Pelodiscus sinensis: one gene and its partner. The protein of the gene in region 1 purifies or fractionates together with the protein of each later gene. This does not show direct contact. Links are inferred from orthologs where the notes say so. Each region holds a gene or a part of one and is shown on either strand. Other genes may lie near its edges.

Region 1 (10,042 bases):
CACCCTGCATTGCTGCCTTTCCACCAGAGGCAGCAGTGCTGGGTGCCAGGTGGAAGCTGATCCACGAGAGGAGACAGTTTAAAATCCAGCTCCCCCTCACAGACCACCTGCCTGCCATCCCACACTATAGCAGCCTCTGTCTGGGGGTGGGGTCAGAGCTCCCACACCCAGCGCAAACTGGAATGAAGCTGAGCTGCCTGCCTGCTAATACCCCTACTGCAGATATGCATTTAAAGTGTAAGTCCCAGACCTGGTGGTGCAAGCTGGGACTCAGCCATGCTGCTGGCCAGCCTGCTAAAAAAGTTACTGCTTGGGGGGGAGGAGGGGGAGAGAGACCTTGTAGTCTATAGCATTGACCAATAAGCTTACAGACTAACATGGCTACCCCCTGAAACAATGGAGCAGGTAATCTAAACTGGTATCCTGCGATTGCACAGATCCCTCAGGCATGGTAGTGGGCATGGTGAACTATCAAGACCCACAAGTCTTCAAGTAGTTGCTCATGGTAGGCTAGCAAGCCATATGGACTGCAGAATTATATACGAAAGGAAAGGAACTTCTGAAAAAGTGTAGCATGTAGGAATGCATGTCCACAATATCTAGCCTTCTGGTTTTACTCAACTGATAGGCAACCTGCTGAGCTGATGGAAGTTTTACCACATAATATTGCACACTGTCCTCCACCGCTTCCAATAGGGCTCTGTACATTCTTGCCCATGTGGCTGATGCATTTTCAGAGCCATTCAGAGGCATGGATTTAGATACCCTTAGCCAAACGAACCACAGTACTGGATACAGGCAGTCCCCGGGTTACGTACAAGATAGGGGCTGTAGGTTTGTTCTTAAGTTGAATCTGTATGTAAGTCAGAACTGGCATCAGCCGCTGCTGAAACTGATCAGTTTCAACTGGGGCTGAATCTGGATGCCAGTTCTGACTTACATACAGATTCAACTTAAGAAACCCAGGCGTCCCCAAGTCAGCTGCTGCTGAAACTGATCAGCGGCTGATTCCAGGAAGCCTGGGGCAGAGCAACTCTGCCTCGGGCTTCCTGTAGTCAGCCACTGGTCAGTTTCAGCAGCAGCTGACTTGGGGACCCCTGGGGCAGAGCAGCTGGGGTGCTGCTGGGTTGCTCCGCGGCTCCTTGGCGCTACTGGAGCAATCCAGCAACACCCCAGCTGCTGTGCCCCAGGCGTCCTGATTCAGCCGCTGCTGAAACTGACCAGCAGCGGCTGAATCAGGACGCCTGGGGCAGAGCAGCTGGGGTGCTGCCAGGTTGGTCCGGAGCGGCGCTGCGGGACCAACCCGGCAGCCCCCAGCTGCTCTACCCCAAGGGTAGGCAAGAAAAGCCTGGTCTGCTGGGGGGGGCACTAGCTGCACCCCCGCCCCTCCCAGCAGACCAGGGAGACGGGGGTGGCGGGACCGCCCAAGTCCTCCACGGCTTTGCTCCGTCTCCCTGGTCTGCTGACCTGGGAGACGTGGAGCAAAGCCGCAGAGCACGCGGGCAGCGGGACAGTCCAGGCGCACCGCGGCTGTCCCACTGCTTGCGTGCTCCGAGGCTTTGCTCGGGTGTCCCTGGTCTGCTGGGGGGGTCCAGCGGCTTTGCTGGACCCCCCCAGCAGACCAGGGAGACCGGGAGAAGCTTTTCTCGCCCCAGAGGACACGGGTGGCGACTCGCCGCCCGTGAGCTCCGGGGCGAGAAAATCCCAGTTTGTAAGTGCGGATCCGACGTAAGTCGGGGACTGCCTGTATTTATACATCTCAATTTACACATCAGTTATGCATCTAAGTTGCCCCAAACAGTTATAAAGCCTTTTACACCTGCACAAAATATGAGTGTTCTTCAAGAGAATTGGAATGTATTTTCCAGCCTCAATTATTTTCTGCAGAAATTACTCTTTACTAATTCTCTACACTTGTTTAGCTGGGCATGCTATTGTTAAAGCATGCAACATTTGGCTTAATATTCTACATCCTTTATTAGTGTACATTCTCTATAGTACGGAAAATGTAGACTCTAGGCTCAGCAAAAGACCATCAGGTGTGTCAGAATCCTCCAAATAGCATTTTCAAAGTACAGTTAATCACCTTTCATTTTAAGATGGACCACCTGATACCATGTTCTACAACATCTGATGAGTTCTCTATACTTTTCCTGCAATCCAAAGAAAAATTCAAGATGTGTACTCAACAAGAGCACACAACAGAGAATGCACAAGTTCAGCTCTTATTCACATAATCATGAGACACATGTATAATGTACAGAACAGGCAAGGTTAAAAGGTGGACCAGTTGGCAAAGTGTGAACTACTGTATTCATCAGTTTATACTGCAGATCAGAGGATCTCAAACTTTCCAACCTACTGTACTCTCTTCCAGAGCCTGATTTGTTTGTGTCTCCCCCAAGTTTCATCTTACTTACAAAATCAGACACACACATAATCAGGCAAACTTACAGAACATTAGTACAAAAAATTGCTTGTTTTCTCATTTTTACCATACCATTATAAAAAAGATCAAGTGGAATATAAATATTGGTCTGTATTTATATTTCAGTGTATAGTATAACACTGGAAATGAAATTTTACTTTGTACTGATTCTACTAGTGCTTTTCACATAGCCTGTTGATATACTGTCTTTGTGTAAACCCAGAAGTACACATACCTTGGCTGAAAACCACTGCTTTGTCAACCATATGTGCATAGCTGAAGCTCTGAACCTAACTGTGTACACATACCATGTGCACATCACATACAAATATTTATGGGTGTTTCTAACCTAAGGTCGTTAATACATGCCAAAAGTACTCATTGATGACTAAGGCCAAACCAAGTTTTATTAAAAGGAGCAGCAGCAGCAATTTGATTTGTAAACAGAAATGTCTGAAATGTTTCAGTCATGAAAAGAATGACACTGTTATTGTTACGTATAGATGAAGATAAATAGCATTTTACAAAGAGCTCCATTTAGGTTAATTAGATTTCACCTAAGTAAGCAATATTTTTAACAGTTGTAAAACTGGAAAACGGGCCTCAAGTAAGTGTTCCCCAGATTGGTTAAAAAGAACATTAACCAATGCTTTCTGTGTGATGGTACTACATACCTCCAGACACAGTACCAGCACCTCCAGGCAGAGCTCAACAACTTTTCCCGTGGAGTACTGGTACTTTTTTTTTAAAATACACAAAAAAGCACTGACACTAACCAAAATACCACTTTAAAAGCAGTTTTTACAAATAGTTAAGTTAAATATCTAAAACCAGAAAATTTCAAAACATGACAAAATTCAATTTTAATCAAGTTTAGAAATAAATCCCATTGTTTATCCCAATGTTAATGGAGCATGAAGATATTACACCATCGGACACAGCATCATTTAATGTGAGCATGTAAATTTTTCTAGCCAGAAACCAAATAATAATCTGGATTCAAATGAAGTTAACTTCTTCAAATTGCTACTTGACATTCATATTATAAACTTCCAGAGACAAAACTCTTTGAGGGCATGTCTACATTAGGAAATTATTTTGAAATAAGAAAATTTGAAATTAGTCCTGAAATAACAAAATCGAAATAATGTGTCCCCTATTTAAGGGAGCTTTGAAACTAGTCCAAGGCAAGCTCCATGAATGGGGATGCTCTACCTCAACTTAGAGCCCCAGGAAAGCACAGGGGAGTAATTACTTTGAATTTTCTTAAAAAAACAACAACAAATAGTCTGGTAGCATTTTAAAGACGCACAAAACATGTAGACGGTATCATGAGCTTTCGTGGGCACAGCCCACTTCTTCAGATCATCTCTGGAGAAGTGGGCTGTGCCCACGAAAGCTCATGATACCCTCTGATACTGTCTACATGTTTTGAGAGTCTTTAAAGTGCTACCAGACTATTTGTTATTTTTTTAAGTTTACCCTGTACAAACTAACTTGGCTATCCCCGAAGCTTACTTTGAATTAGTCTGGGGAGTAGTTATTTCGAAATAGCAGCAGTGGAGTGTCCACACTACCACAATTTCAAAATAGTTATTTCAAAATAAGCGTTATTCCCCAAGGAAAGCAGAAGTTCAGATTTTGAATAACCAGCCCACTATTTAGAAATAAAGGGCTTGGTAATGTGGACTTGCTGCTCATTATTTTGAAATAACCGAGACTCCCTAGTGCAGACCGGAGCGGAGAAGACTTGCCAACAAAGTTCTCAGTTCTAACAAGGGCAAGACCGTCACCTTGCCGGGCCGCGCGTCGGGTGCGCTGTGGCGCAGGCAGCTACAGGCCCCTCACACGCAGCGCTGCGCGGGGCAGAGGCTCCGCGCTGACCGTTCCCTGCCGCGCAAGATGGCAGCGCCGGCCTGAGGGCTCGCGCCAGGCCTCACCTTGCTGGATGTCGCCGTTGGCGCCGCCCGGCACGGGCACGCTGAGCTGGCGCTCGGGCTCGGGCAGGCAGCGGCGGCAGAAGGAGTGCAGGCAGGGCAGCAGCTTGGGCTCGGCCTCGCGCCGGCTCTGCAGGCTCTGCGCGCACACGGCGCAGGTGTCCAGCAGCGACAGCGGGCCCGGCGCGGCCGCCGGCAGGGGGGGCACCGGGCTCGGGCCCGGGCCCGCCGCGGCCTCCGCCTCCGCCTCGGCCGGGCCCTTCTCGGCCGCCGCGCCGGGGCTCTCGCGCTCCTCGGGCGGGGCGGCCGCGGGCGCGAGCGGGGCGGGGCCGGGGGGGGACGCGGCCGCGGGCTCCTGGCCGACCGGGCCGGGATCCGCGGCCCCCTCCCCGCCGCCTCCTTTGTTTTCCGCCATGTTTCCTCCTTTGAACCCGACTCCCCGCTCCGCGCACGCACCGCGCCGCGCCTGCGCCCGCACGCCCCGCGTCACCGGGCTCCCCGCACGCGCTGCGGGCTCGTGCCCGCCAGCTACGCGGCAGGCGGCGGAGGGGCGGGGCTGAGCACGTGCCGGGCCGAGCCGCCGCGGCAAAGGGGACGCGCGCGGCGGGGTCCTGTGGAGCGGCGGCGCATGCGCGTGCACGTGAAGCTCCGCCCTGAGTGGAGCCAGAGCTGCTGCGCCGCCGGGAGGGAAGGGGCGGGGCTTCCTTGCGACTTCGCCAGGCTCGCGCTGCAGCTCGACGCCCGACTGGCTGCGCCGTGGGCTGCGCTAGGGGCCGCCGCCAATCAGCTTCCAAGCGGCCGAGCCACGGCAGCCAACTGCCACTGCGGGGAGCGTGATAGGCAGCGGCACGGCCCACTCCTGGGGGGGAACCTTTCTCACCCCTCCGCCAGTGCCAGGGGCTGACGGCCAGGCAGGGGTACAAAACCAAGGCCCCTTGCCCCGCCCCCATCGCTCATTTGCACAGGGGTGGGGCTGGGCAGGACTTTCAGGGTGCAGGTAGCCCCCCCCAGCAGCAGGCCCTGTGGCTCCAGGCATGGGCAGGCCCCCCTGCTCCCATTGGCCCTGATTCCAGCCAATGGGATCAGTGGAGTCCATGCAGGGGGGGCACCCCCTGCCTGGGAGCCTGCCAGCCCAGCCACAGAGACTTGGAGCTGCCCGGAGCCCCCCGGGGCCGCTGGGAACCAGGCCAAGCTGTGCACCGAGCCTGCGTGAGCGAGGCCCAGCGCTGGGGGCACAAGGGGCTCTGTGCGCTGGCCTGTCCATGGTGCGTGTTGCTCTCCACTCAAGCCTGTCCATTCCCGGGGGGCTTCTCCACTGGGGGGTCTCTCTGCACTCAGGCCTGTCTACGGGATTAGGAGTCTTTCTTTCCTTGGCTGCCCACAGACATCTCTTGCCCAGCCCCAGCCATAGCAGGCTCAACTCCTTTGACAGCAGATGGAACAAAGCAGCTCCGTGGTGTCCATAAGCATCAACAAGAGTGGCCTGAGGGATAAGTTCACAACAAAGTTTGACTAAGCTGCAGCCCGTCTGCCAGGTGTTTGGGGCTTTCAGCTCAATGCATGGGGGCTAATGGCATTACACTGAGGACCTGGTTTGTCTCTGTCAATGAACCAAATAGGGGTATAGCTATATTTGTTTTCACTGCCTGCAAACACTTACTAGTCAAACACCAAGAAAAGAAACCAAACAGCCCAATCTACAGCATCCCACTGTTGTCTCTCTCTCAGCTAGGTGACCCACTGGCAATGCAATTCATGTTGCCCTGCCTGCAGTGACCCATGTAGTTCATGACTAACCCTTACTATAGTGATTCCCAACCTTTTTCCCATGGAGGAACCCCTAAAATAATTTTTCAAATCCCGAGGAACCCGTACCTATGAAAACATTTGCTTGGCCAGAAAAAGTTGACAGCGGGGAGCACAATTCAATCACTGCTAATTTTTTTCAAGAACATTTATTTGTAAAGAGCTGTTGTGCGTCTGAGCTTACATTGTAAGAAAAAAAACTGGAGTATTTTTCCTGTCTTTTTTTGTATTATCTAATTTTTTTTTCAAATATCAAATATCCTCCCCCTCCTGCCTCACTCTCTCTCCTCTCCTCCCACTCCTGCCTCTCACTCACGGAGCCCAAATGGCTGCTTGCTCCCACACAGCAGCCCACCTGAGCAGCGCAGAAGTCAATCAAGCAGGAGAGGAAGGGCAACACAGATGCTCCAGGCCCCGCCCAGCGTTATTTATTCCACGATTTCTCACGGAACCCCTGATGATGGTCTGCGGAACCCCGGTTGGGAAACCGGGCTTGAATGCAAAGGAACAGACAGAACCATTATCCTCTCTACCCCCTGAATCATGAACCAGCAGTGCAGAGGAATGGTACAATTTAAAAGTTGCCTCTTATTCACTCATTAAAAAATTATAGGCAAGGTCTTTCTATTTGGATCTTTCACTTATCAAAGGAATCAGTTGAGGGCCAATTACAGGCCAAGACATGTATTGATTTGTGAATCTTACAAACCCAAATAAGCTTAGCAGAGAGTAGAAAAATGACAGTTCCTCTGAAACAGTTGCTCATACATTTGTCTTGGCCTTGTATTTGCCTGAAACCTAAAAGGTTTCATTTTGTACAGAATGATAAATAGCGTGAACTACTAGAAGTCATAAGAACGGCTGTACTGGGTCAGACCAAAGGTCCTTCTAGCCCAGTATCCTGTCTACCAACAGTGGCCAACACCAGGTGCCCCAGAGAGGGTGGACCGAAGACAATGATCAAGCGATTTGTCTCCAGCCATCCTTCTCCAGCCTCTGACAGACAGAGGCCAAGGACACCATTTTATCCCCTGGCTAATAACCTTTTATGGACCTAACCTCCATGAAATTATCTAGCTTCTCTTTAAACTCTGTTATAGTCCTAGCCTTCACAGCCTCCTCTGGCAAGGAGTTCCACAGGTTGACTACACGCTGTGTGAAGAACTTTCTTTTATTAGTTTTAAACCTGCTACCCATTAATTTCATTTGGTGTCCTCTAGTTCTTCTATTATGGGAACTAATAAATAACTTTTCTTTATTCACCCTCTCCACACCACTCATGATTTTATAGACCTCTATCATATCCCCCCTCAGTCTCCTCTTTTCTAAACTGAAAAGTTCCAGTTGCTTTAACCTCTCCTTATATGGGACCCGTTCCAAACCCCTAATCATCTTAGTTGCCCTTTTCTGAACCCTTTCCAAGGCCAAAATATCTTTTTTGAGGTGAGGAGACCACATCTGTACACAGTATTCAACCATAGTTTTATACAGGGGCAGTAAGATATTCTGCGTCTTATTTTCTATCCCTTTCCTAATAATTCCTAGCATCCTATTTGCCTTTTTGACCGCCGCTGCACACTGTGTGGAAGTTTTCAGGGAACTATCCACGATAACACCAAGATCTCTTTCCTGATTTGTCGTAGCCAAATTAGCCCTCATCATACTGTACATATCGTTGGGATTATTTTTCCCAATGTGTATTACTTTACACTTATCCACATTAAATTTCATTTGCCATTTTGCTGCCCAATCACTGAGTTTGGTGAGATCTTCTTGGAGTCCCTCACAGTCTGCTTCTGTCTTGACTATCCTAAACAGTTTGGTATCATCCGCAAACTTTACTACCTCACTGCTTACCCCTTTCTCCAGATCATTTATGAATAAGTTGAAAAGGATTGGTCCCAGAACTGACCCTTGGGGGACACCACTAGTTACCCCTCTCCAATCTGAAAATTTACCATTTATTCCTACCCTTTGCTTCCTGTCTTTTAACCAGTTCGCAATCCAAGAAAGGACCTTCCCTCTTATCCCATGGCCATGTAATTTACACAAGAGCCTTTGGTGAGGGACCTTGTCAGAGGGACCTTGTCAAAGGCTTTCTGAAAATCCAAGTATACTATATCTACTGGATCCCCCTTATCCGCATGCTTGTTAACCCCTTCAAAGAACTCTAATAGATTAGTAAGACAGGATTTCCCTTTACAGAAACCATGTTGACTTTTGTCCAACAAATTATGTTCTTCTACATGCTGCACAATTTTATTCTTTACTATTGTTTCGACTAATTTGACCAACTCCTTATTTCTTATAAATTACCTCATCGGAAACATATTACTTGCTGATAGATTACAGGATATTTTTTCATTTGCATTTTGTACTAATAATTTTAAGTCAAATCACAGTAATTTCCTTCTTCCTTTTCAGGTTATACTGTTAAGACACCTAGCTTATGTGCTCATTTGATTAACACTTAACCTACTGAAAACCACTATTGTCTGCAGTGAATGAATGAATAAATAAATACTAATTGGTTAAGAATAAGCAAAAACCTGCTTTTAAGATTACTATCTGGAGTTCCAAAAAATAATTTACTAAATGAGCATAGCATTGAAATTGTGAGTTGTGATCCTTAATCTCTGAACCACATGATGGGAATTAAAAATTAGTTTAGATTAACTCAAAACTGTTAAATTTAGGACCAACACTATAGATTGTTGCCCAGTTCCTTCCTGCTTTTATCTCATTTTTCACATACCCATCCAGTGTTTCATATTCTTCATCAGCTGTCTGCCTTTTGTTTTCCCCAGGGGACTGGTTCAGATTAAGTTTTTCCTTACTTCCTAAAAGTGGATGTGGGTGTACTGCCCTTCTAGCCAGCAGCCTGAACCTACATAAATATTGATATTATGAACAGGCTTTGGTGACAGGTTGTGTTGCTGTTCACTTTTAAATAGACAAAGTATATAGTTATTTCATTACATAATATCTTCCTGCTGCACATTAACAGCAACACAAATGGCACAATCACACAGAAGACAGAAAATTAAAGAACAACTTTCATGGACTATGAAAGGGGTAAACAGTGAGGTGGCAAAGTTTGCAGACGAGACTACACTGCTCAAGGTAGTTAAGACCAAAGATGACTGTGAAGAACTTCAAAAAGATCTCACCAAACTAAGTGACTGGGCAACAAAATGAAAATGAAATTTAATATGGATAAATGTAAAGTAATGAACATTGGAAAAAAATAACCAACTATACATATAATATGAAGGGGGCTAATTTAGCTACAACTAATCAAGAAACAGATCTTGGAGTCATCATGGATAGTTCTCTGAAGACGTCCATTCAGTGGACAGCGGCAGTCAAAAAAGTTATTAAAAAAGGGATAGAGAATAAGACGGAGAATATCTTATTGCCCTTATATAAATCCATGGTACGCCCACATCTTGAATACTGCGTACAAATGTGGTCTCCTCATCTCAAAAAAGATATACTGGCATTAGAAAAGGTTCAGAGAAGGGCAACTAAAATGATTAGGGGTTTGGAACGGGTCCCCTATGAGGAGAGGTTAAAGCGACTGGGACTTTTCAGTTTAGAAAAGAGGAGACCGAGGGGGGATATGATAGAGGTCTATAAAATCATGACTGGTGTGGAGAGGGCTGATAAAGAAAAGTTATTTACTTGTTCCCTTAATATAAGAACTAGGGGTCACCAAATGAAACTAATGGGCAGCAGGTTTAAAACAAATAAAAGGAAGTTCTTCTTCACACAGTGCGTAATCAATCTGTGGAACTCCTTGCCTGAGGAGGTTGTGAAGGCTAGGACTAGAACAGGGTTTAAAAGAGAACTCGATAAATACATGGAAGTT
Region 2 (10,692 bases), on another chromosome or scaffold:
CTCCACAACATTGTGGAGCGCTGTGGGGAGGCATTCCTCCCTGCATGGATGGCAGCCGAGGCACAGACGTTCGCACAGCCCCACACAGCTGCCGTCCACCAGGTGCGCCAGGATGGGGTGCGCATCAGAGAGGCCCTGGTGGACATGTTCGCCCAAGCCCCGTAGTAGGGTCACCTGGGTCTCCCCAGACGACTCCCTCCCATCCCATACTCTTCTCCACCCCCTCCCCTTATCTCCCCCCAATTGTAAAGCGTTGGTTCCAAGCACATCGGCCGTCATCGTGATTGTTCGTCGGGTGCGTCGGACGTAGTTAGGGTTTTTCTTTTTAGTTTAGGCTAGGGTTTAGGCCACCATTGCCTGTCCCGAAGAACAGGGAAGAGGATTCAGGGTTCGTGCGGAAGGCTCAAGTCAGCGTACCTGATTCCAGTCATCTTTGAGGGATCTCCTGGCTGTTCCTCTCCCAAGGCCCGGAAGGACCAAAGGATTGAGTTTGCCAGCAACACTACCAATCATCCTCCCTGCGCCTAGACTATGTTTACATAATCTTTAGTGTGCGTCTTTTAACCTTTCTTGCTTGTTTGTTATCTGTGTTAAATATAGTTTGTGGTTTAAATTTTACTGAAAAGTCTCAGTATTTATTTATGAACCACAAACCAATGGCCACTTAAAAAGGACCCCCGGTGACAGAATACAGAATTTGGTGTCCACAGTTTGTAACCCTTTTAAATTTAGGTGGCTAATTGGCATCTCAAAGCATTTCTTACAGTTACCTCGAGTAACACAATAACCACACAAGAATCAACTGAAAAATAGACTTTTTATTTACAAGGGGGAGGGGGAGGAGACCTTCAACTGGGACGGGGAGGGGGAGGAGCTACTGGGACGGGTGGCCCCTGCGAGCGTTCCTTCGGGGGCAGACCTGCACATGCGGGGCAGGCCGCACAGGGAGGTGGGCAGGAGCAGGGGCAGGAGCTGGGATAGGAGCAGGGGCCATTGCAGGGGCAGGAGGGGGCATGGGGTACAGCCATGCTATAATGTACGGCGTGCACAAAGTGTGTAGTGAGGATGGCCATGTAGTCGGCCATCCTTGTACACTGTGCCTGGAAGGCACCCCAGGCCGCCTGCCGCCACTGCAGGTCCCCCTGCACACGCTCGCGAATGGAGGCCTGGATTGCCTCCACCGCTACAATGTGGCGGCGAAGCAGCTGGTCCTGGTGTCGGAGCCAGCGCCTCCGGGGTTGGCCAGCTGGGGGTGCCTCTGCTGCTGGACTGGAGGGTCTTGTGTTCGGTCCCGCTGTAGGGAAGAGAAGAAAGGATGGGTCAGTCAGGCAGGCCCTCCACCCCCCCCACACCTCATGCCCTCCACCCCTGAGCCCAGGTGACCCCACAGTTGTGTGGCTTGGGCCCACTTGGTTCCCCTCCTGCCCCCTGTGTTGTATGTTTGCAAGGAGGACCGCCCCTGGAGTAGGGCCCTCCTCCAGTATTGTAACCACCGGTCTGTGTCCTGGCCCCGTGGAGGGCGGGAGGGTGCTTGTGTTGCGTTCACCTGTGGAACTCCCTGCTGGTGGAGACTGAAGCTTTGGGCTAATCACTGGTGTTTGACAGGGAGCGAGATGCATCCCCACACAGTGCCTGGGAGCACATCTGGCAGAGGTGGTCTGGGCTCTCAGATCCCATCGTGTGGGATATCTCCTGGGCGGAACCAGAAGAGTGACTGGGGAAAGGGGGTGTCCCATCCTTGCAGCAAAACTCAGGGCGGGCCTTCTCCCTCCCACTATCCCTCCCACAACCCCGGTAGCCCAGGGACATGTGTAGCCACAGTGGGGACTTCCCTCGGGGAGTCAGCCAAGGCACCGGGAGCAAGTGAGGGGCTCGGTGGGGGCCACGCTCACAGGACTGTGATGCTGCGGTGTACCCAAGAGCAGCTGGCTGTGCCTCACAGCCAGGCATGGGACAGTGTGCAGTTCTCTGTGCTGCACCCTTGGCGGAGGTGAGGGCTCTGGGCTGAGTCCCTGGGGCCTTGGCTGATTCCAGCTGGCATCCACCCTTTCCCCTGGTCTCGCCGAATGTGTGTGAGCAGCACAGTCCTAGGCGTGCCCTGCAGCTGCCTGCTGCGGCCACGTGCTGCTTGGTCACCAGGCTGCATGTGGTTGCACGTGCTGCTTGCTGCCTAATGCTACACAGCATGCAACTCACGTGGCCTGAGTGGCATGCTCTCCCCCTCCCCACTCCAGGTGCCTGGCTCTCGCCCCCCCCCCCCCCCCCCCCGCCCTCCGCCCTCCGCCCTTGTGAGTGCAAACTGCAAAGACTCACCAGTGGATCCTTCCCCGGAGGAGGAGCTGCTGGAGGGGGCCTGCTGGATGGCAACGCTGGCCTCCTCTCCTGAAGCGCCACCACTGTTCTCTCCTTCCCCTGCCTCAGTGTTTCGGATGACGGGGGGGGGGGCGCTGGCAGGTGTCCACGGGCACGTCCGGGCCTTGCAGGGCTGGCTGCCCAAGGATGGCATGCAGCCAGTCGTAATGGGGGCAGGTGTCTGGTCCTGCCCCCCTGCCCTTGCTGGCCCGCACGTACCCCAGCTGGAGCTCCTTAACTTTTGCCTGGATTCGCTCGCTGTTCCGGGCAGGGTATCCCTGTTGGGTCAGAGCCTCGGCCATCCGGACAAAGATGTCGACATTCCGGCGCCAGGACCGGATGTCATGGAGACCATCCTCCTCCTGCCAGAGGTCCAGGAGGATCTCCAGCTCCCTGGGGGTCCAGAGGGAGCCCGCCTTTTGCGGCCTCTGGGGGCCTCCTGAGCTGGGAGTGCAGGGGGCTCACCACCAGGAGCTGCCATGGCTGGCTTGTGAGGCTTGGCTGGGCAGGACAGGGGCGCTGTGGCAGAGCTCAGTGGCAGGCCTGAGGCCCGCTTCTGCCACGTGCGCTCAGCAGCCTGCGACTGCTTTAAGAGCTTGGGTTACCAGGAAGTCCAGGGCTCCTACGGGGTCTCCAGGCGTCCAAACCGCTTTTTTCCGTTTCTTCTGTTTTTTCGGAAAAGCGGTAGCTAGCTGTCTACACTGGCCCTTTTCCGGAACAGTTTTCCGGAAAAAGGACTTTTGCCCGAACGGGAGCGGCAAAGCTTTTCTGGAAAAGCGGCTGATTTCTTACAGTAGATCGTCATTGCTTTTCCAGAAAATCAAGCAGCCAGTGTAGACAGCTGGCAAGTTTTTCCAGAAAAGCGGCTGATTTTCCGGAAAAACTTGCCAGTGTAGACACAGTCCACCTGTGTCAAGGTGATCAATTCTGGCTCTTTTGGGTTGAAATTCACTTAAGACTTGGAGCTGGGAGAATGAAATGTTGTTATCCATATTGTATGATTAAAAGATTAAAGACCTGAACTTAATATGACCTGGCTTAGGGTCTACCATAACTTGAACACTAAGCAGAGGATAGTGAGTCACATCTAACTGAAAGTCACAAAAGATGGAAACAGGTTTTATTTCTGGTGGTGTAGAGTCTATTTGGGTTTGGACTTGATGACCTCCTGAGGTCTCTTCCAACCCTATGATTCTTTGATTCTATGACCTAGTTTTCACCGTTTGTGGGATTCTTTTATTGAGTTTCAGTTAACTGAATATCTTCTGGTTAAGCCAAGACAGTCTCTTTCTGTACTTCCTATCTTTCCTATAATTTGTTCGTGTGCCCCTAACAATATCTCTTTGAAAAACTACCAACTGACTTCAACTTTTTTCCCCTGTTAAACTTGCTTCCCAATGGATCTTACCTACCAATCCCTGATTTTGCTATAAGTCTGCTTTCTTGAAATCCATTTTCTTTATGGTGATGTTTTCCCTTTTATCATTCCTTATAATCATGAATGCTATCATTTCATGATTGCTTTCACCCAAGTTGCCTTCCACTTTAAAATTCTCTATAAATACTTCATTATTTGTGAAAATCAAATCTAGAACGTCTCCCTTTGTGGCTTTCTCCACTTTGTGTAATAATAATTGTCTCCAATACAGTCCAAGAATTTGGTTGGATAATCTATGCTCTCCTGTGTTATTTTCCCAATAGATGTCTACGTAGTTAAAGTCCACCATCACCACCAAGTCCTGTGCTTTGTATCATTTTGTTAGTTGTTTATAAAAATCCTCATCCACCTCCTCTTCCTCTTTTGGTTGTTTGTACAGGTTGAACCTCTGAAATCCTGTGCTTTCTGGTCTGGTAGGACATGGATATTGTTGGACCAAACAGCGCATCTGGGAGCAAAGGCAGCCAGGGTCAGGAGCAAAGCCCTGACCAGCGGCAGCAGGTTTGGTGGTCAGGAGCCCTTGCCAGGCGGGTCGCTGGGAGCACAGCCCAGGCTGGTGCAGTGGTGAGCTAGCAGCGGGGTTGGGACAGCTGGCAGTGGGGCTGTTGGAGTGAGGAATGCAGCCCCAGCTGGGGCTGGTGGCAGGGGGCTGGCAGGGTGGGAAGTGTGTTGTCTCTTCTCTCCTTTACCCCAGCTATAACACCCCCAGATTCCAACCCTTCACCCAGGTCTCCATCTTTGTCTCAAAATGGAGGAAAGGGGGTTTTGCATTGTACATGTTTGGGAAGGAGGGCAGTCTTTTTGGTGGAGGGCCCTGGAAGGGTATCAGAGAGGTCGCCATGAGCAGTGGAGAGGGAGATGGGCTTTGTTTAGGAGTTCAAGGGAAGTTTGCTGGGTGGGGAGCAGAGGTGAAAGTAAGGCGGTGTACCTCAGTGCTCTGCTCCAGAAAAAGCTGTCTGGGCTGCTGGACTGGAGGGTGCATGTCCAGCTGGGTTCCCCTGGCTCTCCTTTAGATTGCTATAGTAAGCAGCAGGAAACCAGAAAACCCTCCCTTTCTGCACCCTTTAGGGACAGGGCAGGGGCTTTGTTCTACTTCCCTCACTCTCAGGGTATGTCTATACAGCATGGCTAATGTCGACTTAAGCTATGTAACTTCAGCTACGTCAACTGTGTAGTTTAAGTCAAAATAGCTTAACTCAACTTTAGGCGCTGTCTCCATAGCAGGAAGTTGAAGGAATAACACTCTTTCTTCAACTTCCCTTACTCCTCCTAAAATGAGGGTTACAGGAGTTGGAGTAAGAAGTTCTCAGCTTGACATTATTGTGAAATAAAGGTTTGTAGTGCAGACGTGCTCTTTGTTATTTTGGAATGCTACCGTATAGACGATTCCCAGGAAGCAAGTATCCAGCTGCATTCCTGTCCCTCCTGGCTGGGGAGGAGAAGGAGGCAAAGGAGTGAGTGACACATGCTGTGTGCTTTCCCCTCCCTTAAAGGAACAGCAAGGAGCAGTGTGGATAGGAATGGGGTGGGCCTCACACCCCCTCACCTCCTGCCCTCTCTAAAGGATACTGTCATATTGCACCCCTGCCCTGATCTCCCCCCCCGGGGGGCAATAAAAGAGTACCTCTAAAAATGTAAGTTACTTTCACCCCTGGAGGGGGAGAGTCACTATGGTGAAGCAGGAATCAGCTTTGTGTGACACAATGGGGGCCTTTGTACAGACTGACTCTGGAGGCCAACACAAGGAGGAAGGGACACACTGGCCCCTGCGTGTGGATGCAGGGCTGGCTGAGAAGCGGGATAGCTTTGAGGTGGGTCTCAGAGCTTCTCTGTGGGAAGAGGGGGTCAGTGGGGCAGGGCTTGCTGTGGAAAAGGGGGCTCGTTGGGAGTTGTAAGGCAAGACGCAGCTGGTGTAATGTGGAGAGCCGCTGTGGGGGATGGTCTATGTGGAAGGCACCTGGCTGGGGCTCTCCTGGCGTTAGGGAGCATGGGGCAAAGATGGGGTCGCTATGGGATCGTGGGGGGGGGGGGGAAGCTGCATAGGGGTGGGGGCCCCTGGGGTCAATGACCGAAGGGGGGGCTGAAGGAGCAGGTCATGTGTAGACCCGCTTCCGTGCCTGGCTCTGTCCGGGCGGGGGGGGGGGGGGAGGCGCCGTGTGGGGAGGAAGGCGAGGTTCCGCCCCCGACGCGACACCAGCTTTCGCTGTGCCTGGGGGGAGGGGAAGCCGCTGGCAGCCGCCGCGGCGCTACCCCAGACAGTGGGCGGGGCTGGAGGCGGGGGCGCGCACCCGCCGGGTTGGTGCCCGCGCGCCGCCGTCTCCGCAGTGAGGTCACGGGTGGGCGGTGCGTGCGCGGCTTCTGTTCCACTGTTGGGGTGTCGGGGTCCCCACGATGCAGGGTGAGGAGCCGGGGCCTGCTGCCGGCGGGGCGGTGCAGCGGGGGGTACGGAGAGCGTGCGCGGCGGCGAGGGGGAGGGGAGGCTATTCATGAGAGGGGTAGGAGTGTCTGTGGGGGGAAGGGGACAAATCCAGGGAGGAGACGGGGGGGGGGGGGGCTGATTGTCTGCGGGGGCAGAGTGTCTGTGCGGGGGGAGGGGTTAGTCCAGAGGCGTCTGTGTGGGAGGGAGCAGTATTCCCCAGCTGGGGGACTGTCTGTGGGGGATGGAGCTTAGTGGAAGGGGGGGGCGTTGTGGGGGAGGGTGACCCCACAAGCGGGGGGGGGGTAATGTGGGGAGTCTCTGAAGGAAGGGAATTGTTTCCGGTCGGGAGGCGCGTGGGCTGTGTGTGTCCCCTGGGGTGATGTGAAGAGCTGGGTGGTAGGGTGTGTGGGGGAGGGGGAGCCTGGGGGGGGGGGGGGTAGGGAGCGTGTATGTGTGTGTGGATTGGTCCGAGGAGAAGTTGTGTTGCGGGTCGGTGCCAGGGAGCAGTGGGAACCGGGGGCTACGCGAGAATTGGCGGGGTGTGGGTGGGGGGGGGGGTGGAAGAGTCAGTGGTAGGTTTGAATGAGGGATCACTTCAGTATTTGGAGTGTCTGTGGAAGGAGGAAGGGTAAGTCCTGTATGTGGCGGAGTCCTGTCCGATCAGAGCGTGCGTAATGCTTGAGTGTGACTGAGGTGGAGGTGAGTCACGGGGGGGGGGGGCATAGTCTGGGTGGAGTGTGAGAGAGACAGGATGGTGGTGAATGTCGGGGTTATTCCAGGGAGGGCCGCTGTGTGAGGAAAGCACGGGAGAGGGAGGACCTTAGTTTCAGGGAGAATATAACGAGTGAGCTTTGGAAGAATACATGCGTATAGACTGAGGTTGGCTCAGAGATAGCAGTAGGGGTGTTGCCTAGTGTCTGGTTTGGGAAAGAGTCTAGGTTGTTTTCAGTTTTAATTACCTGTATGTTGAATTTATTTGAACTGCACTAACTGTAAAAAGTGTGAAGATTGAAGTTAGGAGAAATACTTTAATTTCAGTTATATATTCAAGGAAATGGGGGCTAGTTTGTCCCCTTATCCTTTTCTTGCCCTGCAATCTCTGAAAGTACAACCCCCCACACACTTTTTTTCCTGGATTCTGTCCCTGGAGTTTGCAAAGCATTGAATGGGGTGAAGGATTAGGTGATTTCCCCCATGTGTCTCCTTTGCCACATGTTTGCAGCACTCTCAATGAGTTATGTTGATGCTGCTGGTGCCAGGTTTATGCATGTGTCATAATAGGGTTTATGATATCTAAATCCAAGCTTTCTGCAAATTAGTTAAGAGTTAGTTATTTAGGGAGCATATTCCAGTTGTGATATATTGAATACATTTCAAGATTCAGGGACTGTTTTAGATAAAGGTATTACTCTTCACATGTGAATGATTACTGATTTTTTTCCTTTTTTTACAGGTTATATAAAAGGATTGCCAGAGATTTGTATTATTAGTCCAAACTATGAATCTCGTATATGGCCTGGATCTTATTTTCATTGCCAATAAGTTGAGATAGGAAAACTGACAGATGCTAGGGAAATTTTTACTGATGCTTATTCTACAGGGATGTTTGGTTTCTACCAGCAACCCTGGATCAGCCTTTAATTTGTGGACTTAACAGAGATTTACCATAATACATTTCTCCACCACTGGAGGTGTGATTTAAACTTGGCTGCACAATAAATAAAGTGACTAAGCTCTGTGTTCGATCCTGTGAGTTGAAAGGGATGTGCTGCATAAAGCATGCCCACAACTAAAATTATCTTTTGGAAGAATTGCATTAACGCCAGTGCTGCTCAGTCTGAGAACAAGTGATTTTGTATTTTAATACTTAAATGGAAGCATATATGAAGTGAAAAGTCAGCATGTTTTTTAAAAGAAAAATTTGATGAAAATCAGATTTTTTTTTTAATATAAGAACTGAACACATATATTTAAGTGCAAAAGAAAACTCTTGCTTAACCCTTCCACCCTTGAATTTTATGCTACATGAAAAATAGGTTACATTTTTAGCTCTTGAGGTGAGATTAAATCCTCACTTTAAGGAGATAGCACAATATCTGCTGGACAGGAGATAATTAAAGTACTTGGAAATTGGCGTGTCTTTAAGAAATACAAATTAAACACATACTAGAAAAATGCACATTTCAAACCTATTTATTTAAAATTCTGAGGTTCAGTGATGGAAAGTCCACAAACAAATTTCCCTGTAAGTGCAGGTTCTGACCAAAAAGAGTGTGGGATCCAAGAAGATGGCAGTCCACCAGTAAAAAAAATAATGACAGAAAAGCATGTAAATAGCAAAGTACAAGCTGTAGTAAATAAATTGCCAACGATAAAAAAGGAAAATGTGGATGAATATGAAGAAACTCCCATGGAGTCTGATGGAGAAAATGCCAAACCAAACAGTACTACAATATCTGAGCCTTTGAATTTAAATCCTGGTTTGAAACACACATTGGCACAGTTCCATTTAAGCAGCCAGAGTTCACTGGGTGGGCCAGCAGCTTTTTCAGCTCGTTATTCCCAGGAAAGCATGTCACCCACTGTCTTTGTGCCTCTTCCATCACCACAGATACTTCCTAGCCCATTGCTCATTCCTTCAGACAGTTCTACAGAGCTCACTCAGACTGTATTGGAGGGAGAATCTATTTCTTGTTTTAAAGTTGGAGGGGAAAAGAGACTCTGTCTGCCTCAAGTATTGAATTCAGTGCTCCGAGATTTTTCACTACAGCAAATTAATACAGTGTGTGATGAACTGTATATATACTGCTCGAGGTGCACTTCTGACCAGCTTCATATCCTAAAGGTTTTGGGAATCCTTCCATTTAATGCCCCATCCTGTGGGTTGATCACACTGACTGATGCTCAAAGACTATGCAATGCTTTACTGCGTCCTCGCACTTTTCCTCAAAATGGCACTCTGCTTCCTGCAAAAAACACATTGGTCCAACTGAAAGAGACTGGCAGAGCCTTTGAGGTAGAGCATGAGTGCTTGGGCAAGTGCCAGGGTTTGTTTGCACCTCAATTTTACATTCAGCCGGATGCTCCATGTATTCAGTGTTTGGAGTGCTATGGAATGTTTTCACCCCAGACATTTGTGATGCATTCACATAGATCTCCTGACAAGAGGACCTGCCACTGGGGCTTTGAATCAGCCAAATGGCATTGTTATCTTCATGTTAACCAAAAATATTTAGGCACTTCAGAAGAGAGAGAACTGAAGCATCTTTTGGAGGAAATGAAGGAGAAGTTTAGCATGAAAAATCAGAAAAGAACACAATCCAAAGTAAGTTTGACTATTGAAAAATTTCTGAATCAAAAATGAAATTTATTTTAAAAGTATTCAGTTTTATCAATGTGAACAGGTATTAAGCTAAGCATAAGCTGAGTCTACTATAAAGCTTCAACACATAATACAAAGCAATAATGAAAATTCCTTTCTTGTTTGGGGTTTTTATGGTGGTACAAAACTTGCAAAAAAAAATTTTAGACTAAAAAACTAGGTTCCTTTTTTCTTTAAACTGGCAAAAACCAGGGACTTTAGTATCCTTATGGAAATACTGTCCTCTCATTTGATCTGCCACTTTTGTGTGATATTATATGTAGTGTATGTTGCCATGTGTAAGCAAAGCAGGAAGGAGCCTAAGAATGGAGCTTCAGCTTTAATTCTGTATTGGTCAGTTAAAGCAAGTTTAACTATATCCATGGCGAATATCCAATTAGCTTGCCAAGCACCCAATAGCATGCCATAGTCTTTCAATTAAGGTAATGGTGCATTGATAAGATATTATTTAAAAATGGAAAGTTTTGGTAATGTTTGGGTTTTTTTATTGCATTGATTATATATAATATAGATATGCCATAAGAGGTTCTTTAAGCAAGCTAAGAATTCTTTGTTGACATCTTGCGATACTGTTGGGATGGCATATTTTTATTACAAAAAAGTAGTGCTCTAAGTCTATGGCTACATCTACACTGGCATGATTTTCCGGAAATGCTTTTAATGGAAAAGTTTTCCGTTAAAAGCATTTTCGGAAAAACGCGTCTAGATTGGAAGGATGCTTTTCCGCAAAAGCACTTTTTCCGGAAAAGCATCCGTGGCCCTGATCGTCATTTTCACAATTAGGGCTTTTTTGCGGAAAACACTACTGTGCTGTCTACACTGGCCCTTTTCCGGAACAGTTTTCTGGAAAAAGACTTTTGCCCGAACAGGAGCAGCATAGTTTTTCCAGAAAAGCACGGATGATTTTACATTAGATCGTCAGTGCTTTTCCGGAAATTCAAGCGGCCAGTGTAGACAGCTGGCAAGTTTTTCCAGAAAAGCGGCTGATTTTCCAGAATAACTTGCCAGTGTAGACACAGCGTATATGATGCTTCATAAAAATGGTAGTTTGTGCCATAAAGAGCTTATAATCTGAATAATAAGACACATATTAGCCAAATA

Evidence for each region.
Region 2: the proteins of TRIM33 (region 1) and SKIL purify together in Homo sapiens (affinity purification with western blotting; 4 studies listed by BioGRID and IntAct, with this or other methods). This does not show direct contact. The link is inferred for Pelodiscus sinensis from reciprocal best matches to the Homo sapiens genes TRIM33 and SKIL.

The regions. Positions count from the first base shown.
Region 1 is NC_134737.1:761,372-771,413, reverse strand, and holds the start of TRIM33 (E3 ubiquitin-protein ligase TRIM33), read right to left. Parts: upstream 4,933-10,042; 5' UTR 4,781-4,932; coding exon 4,369-4,780; intron 1-4,368. UniProt on the Homo sapiens protein: Acts as an E3 ubiquitin-protein ligase. Promotes SMAD4 ubiquitination, nuclear exclusion and degradation via the ubiquitin proteasome pathway. According to PubMed:16751102, does not promote a decrease in the level of endogenous SMAD4.
Region 2 is NC_134720.1:38,847,944-38,858,635, forward strand, and holds the start of SKIL (ski-like protein), read left to right. Parts: upstream 1-6,046; 5' UTR 6,047-6,188; intron 6,189-6,771; exon of another isoform or gene 6,772-6,837; intron 6,838-7,662; 5' UTR 7,663-8,427; coding exon 8,428-9,534; intron 9,535-10,692. UniProt on the Homo sapiens protein: May have regulatory role in cell division or differentiation in response to extracellular signals.